Linked DNA regions of Mus musculus. The protein of the gene in region 3 interacts with the protein of the main gene of each other region in a pairwise test. Links are inferred from orthologs where the notes say so. Each region holds a gene or a part of one and is shown on either strand. Other genes may lie near its edges. The genes, in order: Fam110a, Fchsd2, Mtus2, Ctsz, Cdkl3, Txn2 and Cdk18.

Evidence for each region.
Region 1: the proteins of Mtus2 (region 3) and Fam110a interact in binary tests that used the Homo sapiens proteins (3 or more experiments, as listed by UniProt). The link is inferred for Mus musculus from reciprocal best matches to the Homo sapiens genes MTUS2 and FAM110A.
Region 2: the proteins of Mtus2 (region 3) and Fchsd2 interact in binary tests that used the Homo sapiens proteins (3 or more experiments, as listed by UniProt). The two-hybrid records come from large-scale screens. The link is inferred for Mus musculus from reciprocal best matches to the Homo sapiens genes MTUS2 and FCHSD2.
Region 4: the proteins of Mtus2 (region 3) and Ctsz interact in binary tests that used the Homo sapiens proteins (3 or more experiments, as listed by UniProt). The two-hybrid records come from large-scale screens. The link is inferred for Mus musculus from reciprocal best matches to the Homo sapiens genes MTUS2 and CTSZ.
Region 5: the proteins of Mtus2 (region 3) and Cdkl3 interact in binary tests that used the Homo sapiens proteins (3 or more experiments, as listed by UniProt). The two-hybrid records come from large-scale screens. The link is inferred for Mus musculus from reciprocal best matches to the Homo sapiens genes MTUS2 and CDKL3.
Region 6: the proteins of Mtus2 (region 3) and Txn2 interact in binary tests that used the Homo sapiens proteins (3 or more experiments, as listed by UniProt). The two-hybrid records come from large-scale screens. The link is inferred for Mus musculus from reciprocal best matches to the Homo sapiens genes MTUS2 and TXN2.
Region 7: the proteins of Mtus2 (region 3) and Cdk18 interact in binary tests that used the Homo sapiens proteins (3 or more experiments, as listed by UniProt). The two-hybrid records come from large-scale screens. The link is inferred for Mus musculus from reciprocal best matches to the Homo sapiens genes MTUS2 and CDK18.

What each region holds. Positions count from the first base shown.
Region 1 is NC_000068.7:151,970,220-151,973,719, reverse strand, and holds part of Fam110a (protein FAM110A), read left to right. Parts: exon of another isoform or gene 1-110; intron 111-317; exon of another isoform or gene 318-421; intron 422-748; exon of another isoform or gene 749-877; intron 878-1,229; exon of another isoform or gene 1,230-1,276; coding exon of another isoform or gene 1,277-1,380; intron 1,381-2,795; coding exon of another isoform or gene 2,796-2,871; coding exon 2,872-3,500.
Region 2 is NC_000073.6:101,107,503-101,111,574, forward strand, and holds the start of Fchsd2 (F-BAR and double SH3 domains protein 2), read left to right. Parts: upstream 1-1,272; 5' UTR 1,273-1,516; coding exon 1,517-1,537; intron 1,538-3,236; coding exon 3,237-3,334; intron 3,335-4,072. UniProt on the Homo sapiens protein: Adapter protein that plays a role in endocytosis via clathrin-coated pits. Contributes to the internalization of cell surface receptors, such as integrin ITGB1 and transferrin receptor.
Region 3 is NC_000071.6:147,956,099-147,960,119, reverse strand, and holds the start of Mtus2 (microtubule-associated tumor suppressor candidate 2 homolog), read right to left. Parts: upstream 2,801-4,021; 5' UTR 2,399-2,800; exon of another isoform or gene 2,085-2,398; intron 1-2,084. UniProt on the Homo sapiens protein: Binds microtubules. Together with MAPRE1 may target the microtubule depolymerase KIF2C to the plus-end of microtubules. May regulate the dynamics of microtubules at their growing distal tip.
Region 4 is NC_000068.7:174,436,240-174,440,511, reverse strand, and holds the start of Ctsz (cathepsin Z preproprotein), read left to right. Parts: upstream 1-1,472; 5' UTR 1,473-1,613; coding exon 1,614-1,762; intron 1,763-2,183; coding exon 2,184-2,347; intron 2,348-4,272. UniProt on the Homo sapiens protein: Exhibits carboxy-monopeptidase as well as carboxy-dipeptidase activity. Capable of producing kinin potentiating peptides.
Region 5 is NC_000077.6:52,031,721-52,035,220, reverse strand, and holds part of Cdkl3 (cyclin-dependent kinase-like 3), read right to left. Parts: intron 2,860-3,500; coding exon 2,697-2,859; intron 1,708-2,696; coding exon 1,610-1,707; intron 1,440-1,609; coding exon of another isoform or gene 1,419-1,439; exon of another isoform or gene 1,350-1,418; intron 1-1,349.
Region 6 is NC_000081.6:77,914,551-77,916,772, reverse strand, and holds the end of Txn2 (thioredoxin, mitochondrial precursor), read left to right. Parts: intron 1-915; coding exon 916-1,029; 3' UTR 1,030-1,722; downstream 1,723-2,222.
Region 7 is NC_000067.6:132,136,886-132,141,157, forward strand, and holds the start of Cdk18 (cyclin-dependent kinase 18), read right to left. Parts: upstream 2,801-4,272; 5' UTR 2,525-2,800; intron 1-2,524. UniProt on the Homo sapiens protein: May play a role in signal transduction cascades in terminally differentiated cells.

The DNA.
Region 1 (3,500 bases), on a different chromosome or scaffold from region 3:
AACAAAACTAGGGGCTTTCCCGGAGTCCTCCTGATCTACTTACTCCTTGGGAGCCTGAAGGGAGGGACGAAATCGGGCTACGGCACTGGAATAGACCAGAAAGGCTCAAGGTTGGTGCATTTGCGGTAGCATTTGGAAGCCCGTGGTGAAAAGAGACCTCAAAAGAGACGTTAAATCACACTAGGCGACCGGGATCCTAGCTTCCTCTTGAAGGGGCCCCTGTGACGTGCGTTGGTGCGGATCCGCTGGCTCATTGTGATCAGCTCTTACCAGCTGTCGCCTTTGTCCTAGCTGAGGCTTAGGTCTGCCCTTCTGGATCGGGCTTAGAGACCCTTGGCGGGGGCGGGGTCTACTCACTCCACAGTCAGAGCCTCAGTCTATGACAGTGCGTCTGGTTTCCGGAGCGCTGCCCATTTTCCAGGTGCTGCGAACCCGTTTGATCTTTCCAGCGGTGACCCGAAGGGACAGGGAGGCCTATTTTTAACTGTGTTTAGATAGGGGAACGGCCTGTTAAGAGCTGCCTCTTGTGCAAGGTGCAAGGCTGGTGGGAGAACAGGGACCCTGATGTCTACCTGGTGTCTGTCTACCAGGCTTGGGAACACTCATCTGTCCCCGCCCCCATTTCTATGTAGGGTTAGGTGGTGGGTATAAAAGCAAGGTGGTAGTAGGGGGGAGTTTCTGCCCTAGCCCTGCCCCTCTGACCTCCTTCCTCTTTCCTAGGTGATGTCGGGGAGTAGTGACTGCCTCAGCCACTACTAACGGGTTAGACTGGTTTGGGTGGCAGAGCAGATTGTGGGGGTTAGGGAGGTAGGGCAGAGTCTGGCTACCTAGACAGAGCTCTGTAGCAGTTCTGCTGGCTAGACCTTAACCGCCCAAGGTCAGTTGGGGGTCTGTTTGTATGGGGCTAGCCTTCCTTTTCTGCCCAACAGCCTTGGGAGACGCTCCCCTCCTCCCCAAAACTGTGCTGCGGTTTCTGTGGGGGCTGGGGGGAGCAGATGAAGGAACAGGTATATCCGTAGACGTAGGATGCTTGCCAAGTGAGTACTAGTTGTCTTTTAAAAATGCTGATGGCATTTGCTCACAGTTAAAAACCTAGAGAAAGCTTGTCCTGGGTTTGCCAGTCCTGGTGACACTCCACTCCTCACCCTGGACCCACCTGCCTGTGGTGGGCAGGGCCTCTCTCGTGCGCTGGGGTACTGGTTCTCAGCTGACCCCCACGGGCATTTTAGTTTAGGACACACTTGTGGAATATCTAGCATGTATTGAGAGCCACATCATGAAGCTGAGACTCAGTGAACAAAGCAGCCGAAACCTGTGCCCTCGTGGAGCTGACATTATAGGGGATTGGGGACAGCAAAGAAAGAAAGAGCCTTATCCACAGTAAGTTATATGGTACTAATGGATATAACGAGAAAAGAGAGATTGTGAGAAAAGAGAGATTGTGTGTGTGTGTGTGTGTGTGTGGTACGTGGAGAAGTGGTGTGACAGGAATTAGTGTGCTCAGGCTAGGCTTCATGGGAATCTGCCTTTTTAATCTCCGTTGGGACCTAAGGAAGGAAGTCACTCCCAGAGTCTCAGTTTTCCCAGCCATAAAATGGTAACAGTGGCTTCCAGGCTCTTGGAGGAGGTACAGGAGAGTAGCTCTGAGTGTCTGGCACACAGTGGGGATCCTTGTCTTGAGATGTCTGGTTGTTCCGGCCAGGCTATTACTGTGTTTGGGCACGCAGTCTGGTATAGCAGCTACCTGCCATGCAGCCGTGGAGAACTGGAAGCATGGCTGGTGTGATTCAGGAGCTAGTGACTAGATGCTAGATGCCGAGTGACCTCGCTCAACTGCTGGTGCCCTGGGGGACCTTCTCCCCTCCCCCCATTTGCAGACCAGGAGGTTTGGCATGTGGGCTTTACATTGTGCATATTTGAGGGGTCTGAGTGGTGGGGAAACTGGCACTTTCTGACCTTGTTTCCTTGGAAACAGAGATGGCTGGCCTGACTTGCTGGAATGGTCTAACACCTGACTCTTGGCTACCCACAGGGACCCTTGAGCACCTACAAGGGTCCTGCAGCCCATGGGGCAACTGTCATGGCAGGTGGTCAGCAGCACAGCACTGGGTGGGACATGCTCTGGATAGTTTCTTGCAACAGCAGAGCTCGGGGCTGATGTTTATGCCTGGATCTCTACAGGGCTTGGCCTTAGAGCCATGTCCTGGAAGTGCTAATCTGGACTCTACTAGGGTGGGGGTGGGGACTTTCTGCTCCCTCCTCCCTTGCAGCCTCTTGCTTTTGTGCCCCTTGTGGGTCCATCATGCCCAGGCAGGTGGTTGGCACTGCGCAGCTTCCTGCCTGGGCTAGTTGCGGGGTGTTGGTGGTATCTGGCTGTCTGTACAGTTCAGGTGGGATGTGGATGATGGTTTCTCAACCCCAACTGTCCAGTCGCTAGTACCCCCTCTCTCGGAAGAAGGGAATGGTTTAAGCAAGACCATTGCTTCCTTGAGCTTCAGTTTCCTAATCCCTAAATGGGGCTGTTGAGAGGACCCTGGGTCTTGAGCCTGTTTTGTTCTCTTTAAAGTGGACCTGACTTCTCTACCTCTTTCCTCTCCCTCAGCTGTGCGGGTCCCCGCCCACTACTGGAGGGAAATGGAGTGGGTGTGGCCACAAGCCTTCCAGTAGTACATTTTGCCTGGTGATTGGCTCTTTGCGAGGCAGGGGCGTGCCCTTTACCTTATAATAGCGCAGGCTTCGCCGCCAGTGAGCCTTTGTCTGAACGTGCTCAGCCAGTCTTCTTTCCTTGCTTGCAGCGGAGCCCGGTATCCTGCTGCCAACTTTGTGCCTGTATCTGTCTTCTCGCCACTGCCCTCGGGGTATGTAACGGCCATGCCTGTGGATACGCTGAGCCCCGGAGCCCCCGCCACTCCCGCCCTACCTTTTCGCCTGAGAACCAAGGTTCCCGGCTACCTGCTACCAAGGCCAGCAGACGGGGGAGCCAGGAAACCGAGTGCTGTGGAACGCCTGGAGGCTGATAAGGCTAAGTACGTCAAGAGCCTGCGTGTGGCCAACACCCGCCAAGAGCCGGTGCAGCCCCCGCTGGTCAGACAGCCCCTCTTCAGCCCTGGTCCTCGCGGCCCAGTGCTCACACCCAGTCGCCGAGTCCTGCCCTGTTCTGGCCGCCGGCCCCAACTGGACCTCGACATCCTTAGCAGCCTCATCAACTTGTGTGATAGTCCTGTGTCCCCATCTGAGGCCAGCCGAACACCTGGAAGGCCAGAAGGATCTGCCCACAAGGTCCCACCAGCCACCCCTCCTCGTCCGCCACCCAGTACTGTCGCGGTGCGCCGAGTGGACGTTCGTCCCTTGCCTGCTTCACCTGCTCGGCCCTATCCATCACCTGGCACCACTACCACTTCCAGCCCCGGCCGGCCCCCTGGCCTGCAGCGGTCCAAGTCGGACTTGAGTGAGCGCTTTTCCAGGGCAGCAGCCGATCTTGAGCGCTTTTTTAACTTCTG
Region 2 (4,072 bases), on a different chromosome or scaffold from region 3:
TCCTCCATGGCCCTTGCTGTCTCCCTATGGTTCTTAATCTCACCTAATCCTTTCCTCTGCCATGCTAGTGATGAACTCAGGGCCTCTCTGGCTGCTAGGCATGCGCCCTAACACCAAGCAAGATACCCCTCCTCACACTCAGCCCTTGGGATTCTAGGCATGCCATGTGACCTTGAGAATGGCTCCAATTCTCTGCGGACACCAGCCTTCCTATCTGTGATATGGGAGTGACCGATTCAAGAGATTTTCATTCTTTTCCTCAGTTGACTCCACGAGGTCTGGCTAAGTACTCTGGAATAGGGCATCCATTCCTTTGCCTGGCAATTTTAGGTTATTTCACCTGTCCTCCAATGGCATAGGTCTGGCACCTGCGGCTAGTTGTAAAAGGACTTGTTCATGCTAAATTTCTCAGTGCACGTTTAGCTGACTAGGAGGGAGGGTACGCTGAGGGACTGAGAGAAAGCAAAATCCCGAATCCTCTTAGGTACCTCCTTCCTTATTGCAAACAATCCCACTATGAGCCTAGCCCCCCTCGACTCCTGCCAAATTCCCACACAAACTGTGCAGCCGCAGATGCAGGCGGGAGGCGGGGGCGGCCTGTGCGCGTGCGTCGGAGCAGAGTCCTCTCCCTCCCACGTGCGCGCTCCCGGAGGAGTCGCGCGCCCCAGCGGGCTGGCGGGAAGGCGCGCGGGAAGCCCCCAGCTGCCTGCTCGGTGTGGGGGGAGGGAGGACGGGAAGCGTCCGGAACGTTCCATCGTCGGAGAGAACTGGGGTAGTTCTCGAGTCCCGTTCCCGTCCCCACCGTTCCCCTCGGCCGAACAATCCGTGAAGTTTCCCCCTTTCTCACACCGAGATCCGGAGCCCCGTGGCGCGGCCTGGCTAACCTCCCCCCCTCCACTCTGAAGCAGGCGGTGTGGCCGGGAGCGCATCCCCTCTGCAGCCGGAGCGGGGCGCTGTGGCGCGCGCCAGGGGCCGGAAATTCCCGCGGCCTGAGTGGTTGGCGGAGCTCTAACAGGGGAGCGTGGCGCCGCCTTCCTCCTTCCCGGGCCGGGCGGGGGCGTTGGGCACCGCGAGGGCCGGGCTGCCCGAGTGGGTGGGGGGCCGCCGCGTCAGCCAGCTGCAGCCGGGCCGCGGCAGGCGGCGAGCGCGGACGACGCGGCCGCTCCTCCTCAGCCGCCCGGCGAGCCGCGAGCCCCCCCCCCCCGGCGGCCCCCGCCCCCTGGCCGTCTCCGCCTCCTTCCCTCACACACCCCCCGGGCCGCCCGGGCCCCAGGCCTTCCCGGCGCTCCTCCTTCTCTCCACACTCGCTGCGACCCGGCTGCTCCTGCCGCTCGCCTGCCTCGCAGCCTCCGGGCCGATTCCTCTTCCTTCTCCTTCCCAGGCTCTCCTTTCACACACACACAAGCGCGCGCCCTGGCTTGCTGGGCCGCCCCATTTTCTCCAACCCTCCTCACCCTCACAGTCCTTTAAACGCCGCCGTCAGGGGTGGGCGGAGGATTGATGTCCCTTCAGCATCATGCAGCCGCCGCCGAGGAAGGTAAGGGCGCAGCTGGCGGGGGGCTTTGGAGATTTGGGGGGTGGCGGTGCGTACAAAGAACGCGGCTGGGGCGACCGCTGCGCCCCCTCCCCCTTCCCGCAAGGGACCGTGACCACTCTAGCTTCTTGGCTTGTCAGAGTTGCCGCCCGCCCCAAGCAGGGGGTCGCGTGTACGGGGTGTCTTTCTGACGGAGGGGCGGCCAGTGCTCCTCAGTACTAGGGAGGACACCTCCCTCCCCCCGAGACACTCGCTGGAGTTTTTTTTTTTTTTTTTTTTCTTTCGGGCATGCATGTGTGTGTCTGTCTGCATGGCAGTGCTGCCCAGAGCAAAGTGCATTCTCAGAGCTGTATGGGGGAGAGGCGGGGGAGCCCCTGCAGATTTGCAGAGCCTTGTGCGTGACGGATTGTTTAGTCTGCGCCAGGTTCGAGCCCTCCAGTCGCTTGTCGACACTCCACCCATTGGCAAATTCGCGGGGGGATTTGTTTCAAGTCTCGCCTCAAGATTTGGCCTTTTTTTCCCCCCACGGGGCTGCGGAAAAGAAGTTGGAACGGTCTCCGCCCTCCCACCCCAAGGGAAAGCAAATTAAGGATTGACGGGTCCTGCTTAACCCCCACCCCCCATCCCTTTTGCCCCGCCTCGGGCTAGGGGGCCAGGAAAACAGCAGAGCTTCCAGTACGAAATCCAGAACCTGGCGTTGCATGGTTTGAGCACTACGGTTGGGGTTTGGATGGCCTGGGTGGCAGTGACGGTGCTCTGGGGCTGCCAGCAACTCGGCTGCTCCCTTCTACACCTTTCCGCACTGCCAAGGCTGTGTCCTTGCCTTTTTAAATCTTTCAGATGGATACTAGGTATCTACTCTGAGCAGTGGGTAGAGACAGTTACATCCTTCCCTTGTGGGCAAACATTTGCCTTATGAGTAACTCATCATCTATGCTTCCCTTTCTTTTCTCTTCTTAATCTGATTTTTTTGCCCAGTTACTGATCCTCCCCCTTTCCCCCTGCACGTGTACCCCACCTCTCCATGTAGCTTTGCTCTGGTGGTCGGGATTCCACCACGATCACACACCAATTGAAATCCCAGGGTCCGGCCTGGCGAGGATGGCTCCAGCCAGCTGGCTTTGGCGGTTCTCTCTGTTTGAAGTGGGCTGCCACCCGGCCTGGCTTGCTGGGTTAGTTTAAAAGCCCTGCATATGCTGGAAGGTCACTTTTGCATTCTCCTTTGTGAGAAAGAGATTATGATTTGATGTGCTGTCAGAGTGGAGGGCATCATTCTGAGACTGTGTGCTTTCTTGCAGCCATTACGGAATATTTTATGTAGTTTATTCGTGAATATTATTTCATGATTGTGTACATTTTGGTCGCTAGGTATTAGGTACACTCATCTGTGCTCCCTGCTCCTGTGGTTAATGTCTGAATCTTTGGGAAGCAAGAGAAAGCAGAATGACAGTTTGCACCCCTTTAAACTGCAAATTTTTTTTTTGTATTTGTGAATTTTTATTCAGCCCCTGTCTTACATTCCCTGGCTAGTTTTTTTCATTAAACTTAGTTAAGTAATAAAATTGGATGGGAAATACGAACTTTTTGGTCTTTGGGGATAGGAAAACTAGAAGTATACATTCTAACAAATAGTGTCTTCTTTAAGTAATTTTTTTCCTTCAAATTGTAGTAAAAGCCTTCATAAATACATACTGTGTTTTAGGTGAAAGTTACACAAGAGCTGAGAAACATTCAAGGTGAGCAGATGACAAAACTTCAAGCCAAACATCAGGCAGAATGTGACTTACTTGAAGACATGAGGTAAGATTATAGTAGGAGCTGGAGAACTTCTGTATCTGCTGCCCAGAACCCTTGAGTGGCCAAGCCCTAGGATCTGATGATGGAATTTCCTTTTGGATTTCCTGCTTTCAGGCTGTAGAATTTCGACTCAGCTGGAAGTTAGAACAGGAACTAACACAGTTTAAATTCGACGTACACACACTGTAGAAAAATGAGGGCCTTAAGAGTCTTATCTGTTAGAGCTGGGCATGGTGGCTTATGCCTTTAATTCCAGCACTCGGGAGGCAGAGGCAGGCAGATTTCTGAGTTCCAGGCCAGCCTGGTCTACAAAGTGAGTTCCAGGACAGCCAGGGATACACAGAGAAACCCTGTCTCAAAAAAGAGTCTATCAGTTAGTTTGTAATCACTCAACTGGAAATTCTTACATCTTTTCACTGAGTTGCAAGTTATTTATTGGCTTTAACAATTCTAACATTTTAAAGCTGACACTTGTGGTTAGTGGTTAATATCTGGGATGAGCCAGTCACCCCAGATGAAGCTATACTAGCACTATTTGGCAAGTATTACTTTGTGTTTGAATGTGCAATTCAGTGAGAATGATATGTCATGTTTTAACTAAAGCTACCTATATTCATAACGGGAAACTCTGAATTTAATAGCTAAGGTCTTGCACTAACATTGTGAGAATGAATGTTATAACAGGGTAGTAAGATGGACATGGTGGCATGTATCTGGAATCCCAGTAATCCCAGTGCTCTG
Region 3 (4,021 bases):
GCCTCCCAAAGTAAGTCCAGGTGAGGGACCAGAAGGCCAAGATTCCCAGCCTCTTTGTATAGCCAGCATGGAAAGGGCTGCAGTAGTTTCAGCCAGCATTCAGGTCTCTAGAAAATTGTTAAACCTAACAGTTTTCTATTCCAGCCATCCTCCTGACACAGTTCTTATCTCCCGTTCACAAACGACCATCCCTGCTGCTCCCTCTAATTTGGCAGCAGCTATTCATTATAAAGCCGTGTGTGTGTGTGTGTGTGTGTGTGTGTGTGTGTGTGTGTGTGTCTGTGTGTCTGTGTGTGTGTGTCTGTGTGTGTGTCTGTGTGTGTGTGTCTGTGTGTGTGTGTGTGTTTGTGTGTGTGTGTGTGTGTCTGTGTGTGTGTGTGTGTGTGTGTGTGTGTCTGTGTGTCTGTGTGTCTGTGTGTGTGTGTCTGTGTGTGTGTCTGTGTGTGTGTGTCTGTGTGTGTGTGTGTTTGTGTGTGTGTGTGTGTGTCTGTGTGTGTGTGTCTGTGTGTGTGTGTGTCTGTGTGTGTGTGTGTGTTTGTGTGTGTCTGTGTGTGTGTGTGTGTGTCTGTGTGTGTGTGTGTGTGTGTCTGTGTGTGTGTGTCTGTGTGTGTGTGTGTGTTTGTGTGTGTCTGTGTGTGTGTGTGTCTGTGTGTGTGTGTGTCTGTGTGTGTGTGTGTCTGTGTGTGTGTGTGTCTGTGTGTGTGTGTGTGTGTGTGTTGTGTGCATCCCACATGAGCCTAGGTTTTTATACATTCTCCCTCACGATTTCAGCTCTGACAGCCTAGTTCCATGTCAATTATGTAATAGCCAAAGCAGGGAGTTTAACCGAGTACCAAAAGCACCGTCGTGGCTCTTACATAAGCTCCCATAAAGCCTCTGTAAGCCCGCCCCAAGCTGTGGAAATGTGGACTTATAAAAGATGCCAGCTTTCCCTCTGTCCTTAAAATTACCAAAAAGGCTTTTGTGCACCTGATTGACTGATTGCACTCCTATATAGTATATGAAAACATCCATTCAGTGAGAAAAATAATCCTTGGTGAAACAATTTTTTAAAAAAAAAATCATGCAAACAAAAAGAAGGCACTCCCTCTCCCCAAAACTACTGAACTTTCAGGGTTTCCTCTGCACAATGCACTATACCCCAACTAAGACTCCCATGGGTACCCTCTGTGGTACTAAGGACCCCCGGTACACACAGCTTTTCTTTGCAAGGAAAACAAGCAGGAAAATCACTTAGATGAAAAAGACCCGGGCTAAAATCTTTAGCTTCTCTCCAGTCAAACACAAGTTTCTCTCCCTATATGTCACACGCCTGGCTGGGGTACCTCGAACCCACCGAGCCCCACCTTATGCTGCTGGAGACTAAACGAAGCACGAAACGATGCCCACCAACAGTCACAACCCTGACTCCACATGAGCCACACACATAACAAATGCCATCACCAGAAACCAGTAAGAACAAGATGCGTATCTGATGTTTTCCACTCTCATCTTTGTACCTGAAAAATTACGGTACGTGTGAGCAGAGATCTTTAATAACTGTCAACACACGATTAGCTATGTCCACGTGACAGCAAAATACAACTACCTAACAACTTAAAAGCCAAAACGGCTATGTGACAGGGATCTATTTCTTTAAGTCACTTCCCACCTATTTATTGTCAGAGACGTCCCACTGGTTTTCATAACAGACTTAAAAAAAAAAAAAAAGCCTGTTTTGTGTCTTAACGCTTGAGAGTCTACGGTATGAATTTTTCTTTTGAAAGGACCTCCTGTCGCCTTTAAATGATACCAAAACCATCTCATGCTTATCCTGAAGGAAAGTTTTGAGCTAAGACAGAAATTATGGCTCTGACTTCCTGCGCTCTTACGTTCTCTGGTAACCGCTCCTAACTTTACCAACCAGCAAATATTCCTGTGAAGCACTTACATAACAAAAGAGTGCAGGCGCCTCTGGCACGCCGCCAAGCGTACTTCTCTGGGTGTTTGTATTTAAAATAGAACGGTAGTAACATCACTTGCAAGCCTTTCCCTGCACAGACTCAGAATGAAGGGGGTTGAAAAATGGATGGAGCAAGCCTTACCATTCTAGGGCTCCAAGGAAATAACACATCGGTGCTAAATTAAGACGAAGACACGGACCGAATTATCCCGAGCTGGGGGTGGAGAGGGGTGGGAGCTCGCTTAGGCTAACCCGCTGTCGCCTCTGAAACACCGTGCTCAACCTGACATCCCCGGAAGGTGCGAGTGGGTTGCAGCCTCTCTCCGGCGGAGCAGAAGATGTGGGCAGCGGGGAGCGGGCTCTCTGATGCCAGAGAAGCCAGCAAAAGGCACCGCCTCCGCCCCGCTCTGCACCTGTCTCCAGCCGGATCGGGACGCGCGGACAGCAGTCGCTCACCTGGGTCTGGAGGAGCCAAGAAGGATGTGCAGAGAGACCAGAGCAGCCTCCGGGAGCATCCCGGGCCGGGCTACCTCCGCACGCAGCTCCTTCGCAGCTGGAGTTTGCAACGCGCCCACGCGTCCAGACTCCTGACCCACCCGGGTCTTCTGCAACTTGACAGAGCGCGGGCTGAGGTGGCGCAGGTGGCGAGCTTAGGGCACCGGGGTACCTGGGGCCGTGGCCGCAGCCAGCCCTCCGCCCGCGCACTTCACCACTGGGCACCGCCCAAGCCGCCGGGCTCTGATCACAGGGATGGCCCGGGCTGAGGACGCCTCGCCGGACAAAGACGCCGCTCCCGCCCACCCTCCAGTGAGGTGCCGTCCGCGGTGACAGAAGCCGGGCTGCAGCGGCCCGAGGCGCGCACCCCCTCCCGGCCGCCCGGAGATGCTCGCGAGCCCCGGCGCCTCCTCTCGTCCGGAGCCCCGTGGGGGGAGCCGAGCGCCCTCTGCTGGCCCGACACGACCCGGCAGCTCACGGGACCACAGTGGTCCGGAGCATCCAGCCTCAGACCCCAGAGAAAGGAGAAGCAGCCTGAGGTCGCTGACCTAGACTCCTGACTCCCACGAGTGGGATGTGCTGTGGTCCAATCGGAAGAGAGAGCCTCTTTTAATTGCGTGCAGCAGGAAGAATTGGGGTCCAGCGGGTGAACTCGCAAGGGATGTAGCGGGGCTGATGGACAGGAGACTAAAGAAGTCTCTGTAAGGGTTTTGTGTGTGATTGTGTGCGGGTTTGGCGGGGGTGGGGGTGGGGGAGTTGGGGTGTTTGAGGCAGGATCTCACTTGAGACTCACAGATATCCTCTTGCCTCTGCCTCCAAATCTAGGGGTAATGCATAGCCGGCTACCCACTTGAAAGACTCTTGTCTCAACGCAAGCTTGTCTGCTTCGTAGTTCACAACGTTCCTCAGAAGTAAACATGAACGCAGGACTTCTCAGTAGCCCTTCCAGGTCGCCTGAAAGCAGCGCACCTGGGAAGCCTGAAGACAGCCGGGGGGCTTCTCCAGCCTCTGGCTCACAAGATTTGGGACAGACTGACAGAGAAGACAATGAGATGCTGGCTTACTGATGTGCTTGCTCGCTTTCTCTTGGGGGTCGGGAGTGTGGGGAAAATGGGCTCCCTCCCCCACCCCAGCATTGCTGTGCCGAGCAACATTTTATACCAGCTGAATTTTTGTACTAACTGGTCTATATTGTGAAGGGAAATCATGAAAGAGCACTTTTCACACGGCTGTCTTTTTACATTATTCTATGTGGCCTCCCATTTCTTCTGGAGGAATCTAGGGCACGTTTTATCGCTTTTCCTGTCACCTTCGGGTGTTAACAAGCGGTCTGACTGGCTGTTATTACAAAGTCCAGTCCAATCTAAATCAAACTTTAAGCTCATTTCATTTAAGCCTTCGCCCCTCCCTTCCCCTAACTCACAAACCCCAGCCTGACTTAAACCTAGAAAGATAGTAAAGCCTCCTTTGTGCCATTCACTTTCCTATTTGGGTGCTCTGTGAAGCCCATGCCTCCCAGGTGCAAGGAATGAGGTCCTGGCGCTACAGCTCCTTCCTCGGGCCACTCCCACTCCTCCAGGGACT
Region 4 (4,272 bases), on a different chromosome or scaffold from region 3:
GACTCATGCACACATATAACATATAGGCACACATAGACGACACATTATTTAAAGTGTATATTTTGTTAATTTTAAAACTCCACTCATTCATTTGCTCGTTATCTGTGCCAGGGATTGAACTTGGGACCGTGAGCACACTGAGTACACACTCTCCCGATAAACGCTGCTGCCCTATTGTGCTCTTCACTAGACCTTGCCTGTGGGATGCCATAGAATCGCCAAGACCAATTGTCCCCTTCCTGCGAGAGAGAGCCCATGTGGAACCCACGTGGGAGGCGACACTCCCCCAGAGTGGACCGAAGGGCTCTAAGGTCAATGCATGGTCACTACTGGGGAGAACTGGCTTAGGGAACTCAGGTCTCTGCCTGGGCCTTGGGAGGCCCTCATTCCTACCAGGCTACTTACCACCCAGCAGAAGGGAGAGGTTGCCATGACCCCCCAGGATGAAAGATTTCAACATACAGATGCCAGTGTTCATTTGCCTCCGTGACTACTTTATAGCAACAGGGAACAAAACTCTTGCGTTGTTAAGGGTAGCCCCAAGTTTGCTTCTGAGGTCTTGTTCTGCTCTCTGACAGGAGGTATCCAGCAGGCTTTTGAGTCTTGTTGGAATCCTGGGTGATCTGGAAAGGCAGGCAGCAAGACAGCCATTATGATTTCTGACTGCCCCTATCCACAGACAGAGGAATGGCTGTAGCCCCACTGGCCATCGCGCATCAGGAATCTCACACCCACCACCTGGAGAGAGCCTGAGATAAAACACCAGGGGATGTTTCTTACAGAAGAAGAGATAGCTTTGTGGCCTGGGACTGCTGACAATAGCTCACGGGGCACAGGGGGAAGGGGAAATTCTCCCATTACGAAACCTAGGCTGGCCAGGTCCCACTTCTTTCTCAGTTCCTCATCTTGGAAGAGTCTGGTTAGCAGGGACCCTTTCCAGAACCCCAGGGACTCACGATATATGTGCCAAGTGAAAAAAAAGAAAAAAAAGAAAAAAGAAAAGAGTAATCCTGGAAGGATCCTTCTCTGTGAAGGAGAGCTGTCTCTTCAGGAAAAGCCTGGGTCTTGGGGGGTGGAGAGGAGGGGCTCAGAAAGCCAGGCTAGAGTCCAATGCTGGGTATGACCCACACCTTCTTCCAGCCTCAGGATATCTCTGTGCGCTCCTAGGGAGACCTAACCTAATGGGACACTGCACCACACTCCAGAGCAGAGAAACAAAAGAATCTGGGCTGAGTGGGCCAATGGAAGCCTGCTGAGCCCTACCCTGCTCCAGGATGCCTGGGTCTCTGAATAGTAAACTTAAGTTTTGCTGTCAGTCCGTGTTATCACAATGGCTGGTGGCACTGTCAGGTCTGGGGTCTGGTTGTGTGACCCCAGGTTCTGCTGATCCGGTTGTTTGATTCCTAGTGAGGCAGATTATCTCCTGGGGGCTGCCGAGCGGGGCGGGGCGGGGGCAGGAGCAGCGGGGAAGGCCCCGCCCTCGGGGTGTGTCCAACTTGGGCGCCTCCTAAAGGACCGGGCGGGGCGTCCCGAGCGCGTGGGCCTGCGGGTCGGGTCAAGAGGTCGAAGGTGCTGCGCGTGATCCAGGATCCGAATTGGCCCGGAGCAGGAGCATGGCGTCGTCGGGGTCGGTGCAGCAGCTGCCCCTGGTGCTGCTGATGTTGCTGTTGGCGAGTGCGGCACGGGCCAGACTCTACTTCCGCTCGGGCCAGACTTGCTACCATCCCATTCGCGGGGACCAGCTGGCTCTGCTGGGGCGCAGGTGGGCGCGGGGCTGTGCCTAGGGAGGAAAAGGGTCAACTTCTAGGCCAGGCGCGCACCCCCTGACACTTGGGACCTTGCCCCATCCTCCCTCATTAGGCCTGGGAAGCACAAATCCCATCCCTTCCTTTTGGGATGATTTTCACATCCGGGGAGCTCTGGGGTTTGCTGGTTTGGGCAGTTCTCGCCTCTACTGCCTTTGTTAGTGAGCATTAGCGTATTTCGGAGATGCTCTGTCACATTCAGCTTCCAATAGTCCTGGGTTCTGCTGGTGGCTCTTCTGGGTCAAGTTCTGAACCGACCACAGTTTGGGAAGAAGGCCAACAGGAGAAATGACTGGATTTGTGGCCCTGGTGGGGGTAGGGAGAGGGGAGGCCCTATGCGTTCCAGAGTTGGTTTCCATTGCCATGATGTCCTCCCAGGACTTATCCTCGGCCGCATGAGTACCTGTCCCCAGCGGATCTCCCCAAGAATTGGGACTGGAGAAATGTGAACGGTGTCAACTATGCCAGCGTCACCAGGAACCAGCACATCCCACAGTACTGTGGTTCCTGCTGGGCCCACGGCAGCACCAGTGCCATGGCAGGTAGGTGGCCTGGCGCTCCATGCTAAGCCTAGGGCAGGGCCAGTATCTTGGCCAGGTGGGTGGCTGCACTTCACCATCCAATCTACCTTTAGGTGAGCCATGATAGCCATAGCCCGGGGCTACAGGGGCCCATGGCCCTGTACCATGATTCAGACTTGGATTTCCCCTCAGCCAGAGTGAGGTGGCTGTGTCATTCTGGAGTTCTCTCCTGTGGGCCTACTAGGGCCTCTGTGGGACAGGCTTGGGCTGGAATCTGGTGACAAGTGGCTCCCAGGAACCTTCCCTTCCTCAGAACTTGTGACTTCAGCCATTGAGAACCATGGGACCGGTGTTGCAAAATCACTGAGTTCACAGTTGGTTTGTGGGGCGTGGAAGTGAAACTGCTTCTCAGTAGCAGCTGGCATTTGAGGTGAACATGTTCCCCAGTACGAAATGGCCCCCCCAGCTCTCTTCTTCGAACCTTAGCCTGGCCGCCCAAGAGTCAAGTAGAAGTTCATTCAGTAGGAAGAGAGAGGCCCCAGAGGGCTGCTGTGCCCTTCCTTGGTAGAGGAAGCAGGAGCCAGGGAGTGCCAATCTACCTGTAGCATGGAGATTCAGCTTTGCCATCCCCAGAGGTGGTTCCTGGAAACCAATGGGGAAGGGAGTCTCCTGCCTGGGAGTGGGACTCAGCCAGTGTCCTCTCTTGATTGGGTATCTTTTTGGCCAAGTCTGTTGTAGGTGGAGCCTAGGTTGAGGATTAAGAAAATGAAATTTCATTACTGAAATGGCAGTGCTCTTGCCCGTAGGGCTTATGTAGGTCTTGCCTGCCAGTTGGCTCTCAGTGCCCAGCCTAGGAAGCCTCTTTCAGGTCGGGAGACTGCGTTGTGAGATGGATGGCAGCTTCAGTTCAGCCCATCAGCCTGGACTCTCTTTTGAGGATGAGGGGTTCCTGTCTGAGGGCAGTCTGTACCCCAGCAGTAGCCAGGGGCAGATGTAGCTGTGGCCCCTCATAGAGCCACCTCTGAGGGCTGGGGCATACTGCTGACTTTTCAGAAAGAGGAAGAAAGAAAGAAGGTGGGCTGACAAGAGGTACTTACCAAGCAGGCAGGGGGTAAGGAGTGGGCAGCCATAGCAGAGGAGTAGAGCAAAGTCCGGGGCGCTTAGGAATGGTGTGGCCAGACTGCTGTTGGGGAAGCGAAAGGCCCCTCTCAGCAGAGCATAGTGTGGGGTGAGTGTGACATGGAGTGGGAAAGATCCTTGGGTCTCTGGATCGAGTTAAACGAGGAGGGTGTAGAACATTGCAGGATCAGGAGAGATGGCCAGAGGCTGTTGGGCCTACCCCTCTTGGGTGGGCACTAGGCCCTACCGAGGTTGTATCTTCCCAGTTGCTACAAGGCAGTGTCCTTGGGGAAAATGGCTGCTTCGTTCTTTTCTTCTTCTTCTTCTTCTTCATTTTTTTTTTTTTTTTTTTTTGGTTTTTCGAGACAGGGTTTCTCTGTGTAGCCCTGGCTGTCCTGGAACTCACTTTGTAGACCAGGCTGGCCTTGAACTCAGAAATCCGCCTGCCTCTGCCTCCCGAGTGCTGGGATTAAAGGCGTGCGCCACCACGCCCGGCTCCGTTCTTCTTAAGTCCCCGACATCTTCGTCAGTAGCAGTCAGAGCCTTGCTTCCTCTTTCGATGAGTAGACATCAGAGAGGACTTCCGTGGGGCCCTGGCCATTTGCCAGGGACAGAGCAGGAGACTAGTATACCTTTCCCCGTCTCTGGGTTAAGGGGCGTGTGGGTTCTTTAATGAAGCGTTTGCCAATGGTTGATGCGGTTAAGCATCCAAGCGGCCTCTCCTTGACCAGTCACTTCTGATAGGTGACCAAGAGACCCTTGGTCCCACCCGTCTCTCACTGCCCTGTTGCTCCTGTTGGGTTAGCTGGAGCCAGCCCCATCCCCCG
Region 5 (3,500 bases), on a different chromosome or scaffold from region 3:
ATAAGCTCTAAGCAACACTGACAGCTCCTGGTTGCTTCTAATAACTACAATTGGTTTCTGTTACTCTTTTCAAGGCTACCTTTTCAGGAATACCACATCACATAAGCATCTGAGAGAACTGCTTTGATTCATTTTCCCCCTGCACGCATATGTGGTTCGGGTTTCTGGGCTTCTCATGGAATAGCAGGATAAACAGTGGCACATCGAAGCTTTCTGCAAACCCAAGACCCCTATCTCACCCAATGAGCCAACAGATTTGCAAATGGTATGCTATGCAGATTTCCCAGACATGAGTATATCTCTTAAATGCACAAGCTTAAAGAATCTTTTGACTTAAAATGAACTAAAAGGCTTTCCTTAATGGCCTTCCTGGTCAATAACAGCTCTGGTTCTGCAAAGTAGATTGCGACACACACAAGTAGTCTTGGGACTGCCAAAACAAGACTATAGCTCTAAATGTCACAATGGAAATGCCTTATAGGTTTTCAGATAAATCTATACATACACACACACATACATACATACATATGTGTGTGCGTGCGTGCGTGTGTGCGTGCGTGCTTTTGTTTTCTCTGAGACCAAGTCTCATAGCCCAGGATGGTCTCAACATCACTGAAGATGACCTTTCACTTTTAACTCTTCTGCCTCTGCCTCTGCCTCCCAAGTGCTGGGATTAGAGATCTGTACACCTGGTTTACTGGAGCTAGGGCCTGTGTATGCTGAATCGGCACATTACCAACTGAGTTACACAACCTTCCACTGTTCCTTATTTTTAATTTACTCAATTTTCTTTAATAAAGCAGGAATAACTTTATCATGAATTAAAATATTCATTCGTAGTAGGAAATAATAAAATGTATAAGTTATGCACACAGATGACCTCATTAGGAAATCCGAGGCCACATGCATGCTGGGACTCAGTGAGTGTTGGTTTAGTCTCCTTCCCTTAAGAGAATGCATTCAAATGAATGTTGATGACAGCAAGATTTCTGAATAAAATCCAGGAACTGATGTGGTGAGTGGGGTTGGAACTGGCAGCAGACATTTTTGAAAACAGGCCAACAGTTAGGGAACAGTGACAGACAGTAATCTGGAAGAACACAGAAGGGAAAAGCCAGAGGCAAACACAGTGAGTGGTGCTATGCCCAGGGCAGTCAGCTACTACTTGTCCCATGGCATGGGTCACCTGAGCAACACTGGAAGGTGAACACACCACAGCTGCTCTCTGTCCTGGATGCTGTGTGTTCTAATCACTGAAAATTCAAAGGAGGGATGGTGTTTACTACTACACAAACTAACGTTTAGGATCTTTCAATACTTGGTTATAAGAACACAAATAACTGGATATAGTGTTATACGCCTTTAATCCCATCACTGGGGAGGCAGAAGCAGGCATATCTCTGTGAGTTCCAGACCAGTCAGAGGTACATAGTGAGACTCTGTATCAAAAGCCAAAAATATACATAAATAAAAATAAGATAAAACAGACCTGTTTCTAAAGTTTAAAGATTATAAAAGTTTTAATTTTTAAAAAATTTCTGCTAGTAACTAAATTTAAACACTCATTAAAAGACAAAACAACATTCTATAAAGATTATAAAGTGTTTACCTCTTGTTTTTCTTGATTTGGGTCCATACTAAGTAAAGTTGGTATTTTAGATGAATCTGTTTTCTTTGATTCTCTCTTCAGCACTTTTATCTGTTTAACTTTTGGGGGAAAAAAAAAACATGTAATTTGTTGGCCCTTCCTTGAAACTATATTTTCCTCTCCAGGTCTTCAGGTAGGTATCCCAGTAGCCCCTAAGCCCACTTTTGAACTCAAGCCTCCAAGGGACTGAGTAACTGTGAGTTGTAAGATACAGTATGATTTTATTTTGTGATCTCACAAGAGCTTGTCTCTATTTTCACTGAGGGACCCTCAAGTTGCACATTCTACATTTTACACCTTGCTATTGTATCACATTTTTATAAGGTGTCTGTTTTCCAAGGAAAGGAAAAAACTTTTGCTCACAACAATAAATTTTATTTTTAAGTATTTGCTTAATTTTATTTCAGTATCTTTATTATTTATTTGTTTACTGGTATGGGGCCAGTCCTCTCCTTCTACAATGTAAATCCCATGATCAAACTCAGGCCATCAAGGCATCAAGTGCCTTTACCTGCTAAGCCATCTCACTAGCCCTTAAGATATAATAAAGTTATGATAAATTCTACATTTAGAAAAAAAATCTATGAAATCCCTGCATGCCCAAATCATCTATAACACTTCCGGGAACTGAGCAGAAAAGCGCTTTCCCCACATTATGTATGGAACGTTATGTAAGTTTGTCTTCCTCAAATTCTGCTCCAACATCTCAACATTAAGCTAACAGAACATTTACCATTTCTGGTTGTCTTTACCTTTCTTTACAATTATCATTATTAAGTCTGACCCTTGTTGGGCACAGTAGACCTTTAGTCCCAGCACTCACTCTGAAGGAGGAAGCAGGCAGATATCTGAGAGTTCAGGCCAGCCTGGTTTATATAGTGAGCTCCAGGACAGCCGGAAACACACAGACCCTGCCTAAACAAAACAAAACAAAACAAGTCTGACTCTTTATTTCGCCTACTTTTTCAAAGCAACTGGTTACTTCTACAAAGATCTCCCGGTAAGTGTCCTCACAAACAGCCCCACCCCTTAGCGAGCATCTACATACCTTCCATCCCTTTCATCTCCTTCGCCTGCACTGTGAATGGCAGTTCAGGGAAATGGAATTCTTTCCTGTCGCATTTGGGAAAATTCAGCTTTCTTTTGTTCCCACTCGATATTTGGTCATTCTGACCTGTTCGCTCATTAAATGCACCTTTCTCTGTTTGGACCTAGACAAACAAGTACCAGTTAGTAAGAAGAACTGTGGGTGACACACAAATCAGCAGACCAGAGCAATACTAACACTGAAGCAGCCAGACTCCCAGGGACATTTTCCAAGTGAGGTTTTTAGTCCATTTACTGTTCTTGATTTAGAAAACCACAATCTTGACTTTGTTGTTGTTGTTGTTAAAGATAGGGTTTCTCTACGTAACCACCCTGATTGTTCCTAGAACTCACTTCTGTGGGCCAAGCTGACCTCAACCTAACAGAGAGAGGTCTTCCTGCCTCTGCCTCCTGCATGCTGGGATTAAATGTGTGCAGCACCCCTACCCGGATGTTTCAACTTTATGCTATTATAAATAATGCTGTGCCTTGAATGTTATAAACTGATTGTACTATGTAAAGAAATGATGGGCGAAAAAGAGAAAGATATGGCTAGTACTTCCAGAGTAAGGAAACTCCATCTATTAACTACCTAGAAACTCTATCTAAATCCAGGAAAATATTTTTGAAAGAGAAAAGCACGTCTTGTGATTTGTAAAGATGGAAGCCATACCTTAGTAAACAATTTAAGATAAAGAATAAGATGGTACAGATACAGCTCAGTGGTTAAGAGCAGTTATTGCTCTTGCAAAGGACCAGGGTTCAA
Region 6 (2,222 bases), on a different chromosome or scaffold from region 3:
TTTATATGAGTACCCTGTAGCTGTCTTCAGACACACCAGAAGAGGGCATCGAATCCCATTACAGATGGTTGTGAGGCACTATGTGGTTGCTGGGAATTGAACTCAGGACCTCTGGAAGAGCAGACAGTGCTCTTAACCACTGAGCCATCTCTCCAGCCCCAGGATTTCAATATACGTGAAATCCTCACATACATTTCGTGTAATCTGTCTGAGTCTCCAGAGCTGTGGAAGCAGTACCTCACGGAGCAAGAGCGCCCCTTTCCCTCTGCCAGCCCGAATTAAAGCCTCTGATCACATAGGACTGTCCCCATCCACTCTGTGCATAACCGTTAGCTGTAGCCCACCAAGGTGGTCCTGGGCAGGTCAAGCTCCACCATACCCACAGTGTGCCCTGCGCCCTGTGCCATCCTAGCATGTGTCTCTTGGCATTCCTGTATTCAACTGAAAACATTGTCGGTGTCTCCACAAGCCGAGACTTGAGGTACTAAAGGGCTTACCAGGTTCCCCCGGGGTAGGAGTGAGGTTGGGCCGCCCAGTCCTGGAGCTGGCATCCCCGACCCCTGAGCTCTGTCTCAAGCATTCAAGGTAAACCATGCATGGCCAGGACCCAGAAAGAGGCCGTGAGGCGCTCGGGAAGCAGCCTGGCCCACAGCACACACACACACACACACACACACACACACACACACACACACACACACACCACTGGACCAGCGAGTCGGTCCTATGGTCCAGGGAAGAGGAGGATGCTGGGAACTTGCAGTAGAAGAAGCTCTAATGGATGGGTCTCCTCCAAGCAAAGACCCCACTTCCTTTGGCCCTTCCTGTGACCTTGGCCTTCTCCACAGAGGCTTAGGGAAGATACACAAGAGACAGTCAACTCCAAGTGATTGACCCTGTGATTCCCTCACCCAGGTGTCAGCTGTGCCTACCGTGCTAGCCATCAAGAACGGGGACGTGGTGGACAAGTTTGTGGGGATCAAGGACGAGGACCAGCTAGAAGCCTTCCTGAAGAAGCTGATTGGCTGACGAGCAGAGAGGAGGCCTGACTACCCTTGCCTGCTGGAAGTCTGTTTTGGGGAGAAGCCTAGTAGAACTCCCAGCCCTCAGCTGTCATCCTTCCTGCCCTGCCCCTCTGTTTTATCCTGGTGGGTCTTGCCTGTGACAGCAGACCCTCCAAACCTAAGAGCCACCAGCACTTCAGAGCCAGCCCTCAGCCCGGGTGGCCTGGAGAGGGCCAGTGCTGCCACTGGTGTGGGGGTCATTCTTGTGCACCCCCTACTGTGTGCTCCTCTTGTGCACCTACTGTGTGCTTCTTCCGGGGCTTGTTGCCATTCCCCTAGATGCTGGAGAAAGCCTGGGCCAGCCTGTAGCCTGACCGCACTAGTGGTCGCCCAGTCCCCATCTCTGTGGCCCTCTGAAGCCCCAGCCCCCATGCATCAGCCTCTGGCACATTTCCTCTCCTGCCTCTGCTTGAAAAGGAAACCAGAAGCCGAACAAGTGAGAGTAATGTATAATTCTCTCATTTTTTTGTAGGTCTCTAATAAAGAACTTTATGTGGTCCTTCTACCTCTTGCTGTGAAGAACAGAGCCCACCCCATAGCCTAAATCTGTCCCTTCTATTCCTTGTCCCCTCCCTGAGTTAGCTGGGCCTTGGTTCTGGGTCCCTGAGCAGGAGGAGGAGCTGTGAACAAGTCAGACCAATAAAACCAGGTTTGCACTGCCACTGGCTGCTGTTCTGTGGGCACTGAGCACTTGGGATGGACGGGTATTCCCGGGCCCACCACTGTCCCCAGCTCCTCTTGGGTTCTTCACCCCTCTCATGATTTGTGTTCCCACTCTTCATGGCTCTTGGTCTGGGTGTGCCATCATAGACATCCTCTCTAAGGTCCAGAGGTGGTTGTGCTGTTTCCCAAAATGCAGACAAGGGCTTAAGGAGTGCAGCTGGGCTCTAGCCAAAGGGGTTGTCTCAGAGACCTGGATTCCCTCAGCCTTTTGGGACCTTCTGCCTGGACTGGTTTCTGGCCCCTCCTGGCTGGGTGGCACTTCTTCCCATGTATGCCCACAGGAAGGTCTAGTCTTTGGGACCGGACCCTCCACCCATCCTGTTCCCTCTCCAGCTCCCTTGTCTATAGAGTGCCAAGCTGCCCAACCAAGAAAGCCCAGCCCGTCGCTCTCCCAGGGGTAAGGGGACACTGTCACTTGATGATGCCTGTTTTCAG
Region 7 (4,272 bases), on a different chromosome or scaffold from region 3:
ATAGGAGCCAGTGCTAACCTTGGTGTGTTCCTACCCTCTGAGATGGGAAAGTGCCAGCTCAGCAGTGAATGCCTAGAGAGCGAAGGTGAAGGGTCCAGGGAAGAGGAGAGAAAGGGTTACTGGGGGACACACAGCCCAGGGAAAGAAATGTGACTTATTCCCAAAGGAGTGGAGCTAAGCAGGTAGACCTGGAACTCAGCCAGTCAGTCCCTTGTGGACAGCAGAGCAGAACAAGGACTGCAAATAATTAAGTCCCAGGAAAGGGTCCTCTTACCCCAGGCGCAGGGTCCTGCCAAAGTCCTGCAGCCTACCTGACCCACCAGTACCCAGAAGGCTTAGTACCTGGCACAGACTGCTGGCCTTTCCTGACATGTTTCCATTCAGCCCACCCACCCACCCATTTCTTATAGAGAACTCTCCTCTCCAACCAAAAGGGGGGAAACTTCTAGCCAAGGCCTTGGCTTGCCGGGGTTTCATGGTCTTCCGCCCCAGAGTCAGCCACGGGGTATGACTAGGACATCGCCTTTCCCAGGCCTCACCACCACATGATCACCTCGGCTTCCATGTGTTATACAATAACAGCCCTCCCTACCAGGAGCCCCTCTCCAAACAGAACACTGAGCAAGTTCGAGAGTTTGCTGGGAGCCACAAAATCAATAGGAGGATTCTAGAAATGGCTTAGATTTGACCATCCTTTCTCATCTTCAGGTCCCAAACTCAGAGAAGGAAAGATGGAATCAGGAGAGGAGGAGGAAGAAGACGAGGAGGAGGAGGAGGAGGAGGAGGAGGAGGAAGAGGAGGAGGAGGAGGAGGGAGAGGAGGAAGAGAAGGGAGAGGAGGAGAAAGAGGAAGAGGAAGAGGAGGAGGGGCAGAAGAGAAGGCTAGAGTGAGGTAGGAGTCAGAAGACCCAAGCCAGGCTTTTTCCCTATGAAGAGCGGCCTCTTCCCCTGGGAGCAGGATCAATTAACTGACAGAGAACACAGGGTTTGGAGAGAAACACAATCCCATTCCCTCTGGATCTCAGGGCAGCTATCCCCTCCCCGAACAATCCCAGACTAGGAATCCACTTGTTTCTCAGATTATTGTCCCTCTGGTAAAGCCTGGGTCTGCCTGGGGAGCCTGATTACTTAGAGAACTACCCCTGTCCTCCCTGGGAATTCCAGCCCAGGAAGAGCAGGAGTTGGGACCGGGCTTGGGGTCAGATAGATGTAGACCGGATTGAACCCGTTACATCACTCTCACCCACCCCTCCCCCAGTCTGTTCCTTGGCTAGTGCATTAGTGATCATAACACTCATGAACTATCATAACATTATTATGACACCTTGCTTGGCACATTGCAGAGATTGGAGACAGGAGCTGGGGCAGAGGGAGCCTCCGATGCAGCCCAAGTCCACAGGCATAGCTGCCTGTTGGCCACACCCCAGAAGCTATCCCAGGCCCAAGGCATGACAAAGACATGCGTTCTTGAGACACAAGGATTTGGATCCCCACCTACCCCGCCTCACTGTGGGCTATGTGCCTCCATTGAATCTCACATCTGATAGGGTGGGGGCTTTGCGACCCACGGGGCCCAGGCCACACAACACAGCTGGGTAGGCTGGGGAAGATTGCTCAAGGCCGAGCTGGGATGACAAAGAGGGGCAGATGGCAGCAGCCAGAACTCAGAAGGTTCTGAGGACTGCCCCTATCCCACAATTCTACCCCTGCTCCTGGGAAAGCTTAAGAGAAATATATGAGGCCGCTGGAGCCTAGAGGGGTGCTGACCCCTCAGTACAGGGAAAACAACCCCAAGGCCATCAGGGGCCTGTCCCCCAACCGCGTGGAACAGAGCCTCTGACCCACCCCATTTTCAGAGTCCTGTTTGTGACCTCCAAACAGAGCAGTCAAGCCATGCGTTTGAAGAGCGAGCCACCCACCCTCCTTTCCCACACGCTATCAACCGCTGTCCACAGGAGGGGAGGATCATTGCTTCTCTGGACTTAGCCCAAGAGAAGAGACACGTTCCCTAGCGACTCTCCTCACCACGCAGCCAGCGCTCGGGGCTTCACCTGTCCTCAGTTTTCCCCAGGTCTCTGGCCTACCACCCATGGCCTGTGGGGCTGGAAAGTTCACGAAAGCCCAGAAAGCTCTTCGAGGTGGCAATCTGGCCCTACACTCTCCTGAATCCCTTCGTTATCGGGACTCCTGACCCTTGTCCTTCCCATAAGGAAAGCACTTAGCGTCTGGCTTGTGCCTGGGAGGGGAACTTTTGCGTTTGTAGGGTTCCGACGGAGGTCAGGGCCAAAGGGAGTCCGGGATCCAGAGTCCCCGCGGGGCACGCGTTCTGCCTCAGCACCTGGAACTTGGGAGTGGCTTTCCCAGGGCATCCTTCACCCCACACACACACCAAAAAAATAAATAAATAATAAAAAAATAAAACGCAAGCGCGCCTGCCGAGCGCCCATCGCCTATGGCAGCTGGGGAATTCTGCCCAAATCTCCAGCGCAAAGGCAGTCGGCCCCTTTAAGGACCGCCCGGCTTACCTTTGCTCAGCTTGCCCGGCGCGGTGCCCCTCTCTGGCCGCCGCGGCGGACTCTGCGCGTGTCCCGGTCGTGGCGAGCCGGCTCCCGCCCTCCGCGGCCGCGCTGCCAGGCTTAGGTGCCCTGCCCCGCGCCCCGCCGGGGTCCCTACTCGGGACCCTGGCTCTTCCTGGCCCTGGAAAGGTGAGCGGTTTTCCCCCCAAAGAAGCTGTAACCTGAGCTGCGGGAGAAGGGAGAAGGGAGGGGTGCAGGAAGGTGGGTAAGAGGAGGAGGAAGGCAAAAGCCGGGCCCCAGCCAGAGTTTTTCACGTGTACAAGTTGACTCCGCCTTTGTCCGGACCGGCCCTGCCCACAGTCACTGCCAATCCCTTGCTCTCCCTCTGTCCCAGGGCCACCCCTTTCTCCCACTCTGGGAACTAAGGCCTGTGCTTCTTCCTGTTCCCCTCATAAGCTGGCCCTAAACTAAGTACAGGGTGAGGCCCTTTAGCCTGGACCACACCGGACAGGTCTCTGTCTCTACCCAACCTGCTGAGTGCCAATTTCGGGGGGTGGGGGGAGGGTAGTGGGGGCAGCGCCTAGCACCTAAGAGCTAATGTGCGATCTCAGGGCACAGGGCCTCGCCTATTCTCCTCTCTTTTATGGAGTGTGAAATTGTCACTTACCTGATAATATCTCCCTGATCCCTTCCCCCATCTCTGCCTCTCCATGGCCTGGAGGAAGAGTTCCTTCCCACATAGCATCCCTCTTCCACTATGAAGAGGAACAACTCTGTCCTTTTTGGCCAAGTGAATCAACTAAGAAGCTTTGCAGATAGGCAATGCTAAGTCAGGTCTCGGTTTACACAAGGGGAAACTAAGTCTCAGAAAGGAGACTGAAGAAGCCCAAAGTCCTACAAGGCTTAGAACCCAGGTCAAACATCATTCTCCCACACTGTCTAACGTCAGGGGTCAAAAACCACCACCAGGGGCGCTGGAGAGATGGTTAAGCAGTCCTGAGCAGTTACTGCTCTTGCAGAGGACCCCGGTTCCGTTTCCAGCACCCGCATGACTGCTCACAACTGTCTATAGCTCCAGTTCTAGGGAATCTGACACCTTCTGATCCATGGTGCCAAGAACATATGTGTTAGATACACACAGCTGTGGGCGAAATTCGCGCGTGCACACAAGCTAAATATAAATAAACCTTTTGTTTGTTTAAAGCACGCCACAAAAACGCTGGGGTGGGCTGAGGGTCAGCCTTCTTATGCTGGGGCCTTTTTATCCTTGCTTCCGGTGCTCTGCCGGGACTACATCAAAGAGGTCCTTGCCCTCTGTTCTTTTAGCAGATATGGCACATAGCTTCTGCAATCTGGGTGCCCTTGAGAAGGCTGCTTTGAGGAGAATGTGGTGTTGGAAAGAGGACAGTTTTCTTCTAAAAGACAGAGTCCTGAGGTCACAGCCACATGAGAGTGACTTATGGGTGGCTGACATCCCACAAGGGCCTACCAGCTCTTTGCTACCTTCCCTACCAGGGCATGGAGATTTTTCTGGGAATGAGTGTTTTATGCAGCTGTGGCTGCTACAAGCTGAAGGGCTGCAAAGAGTGCCTACAGCCAAGCCTCTGGATTTGGGACAGAGGATACCTGTCCTGTTCCATGAGTAACTAGGAAAACCTAGGCTTAGGCGTGGTGGGGAGGGCCTGCACTCAGGAGGAAGAGGCAGGAGGATCACTATAAGTTCAAGATCAGCCTGGTTTCCCCAATGAATTCTAGGC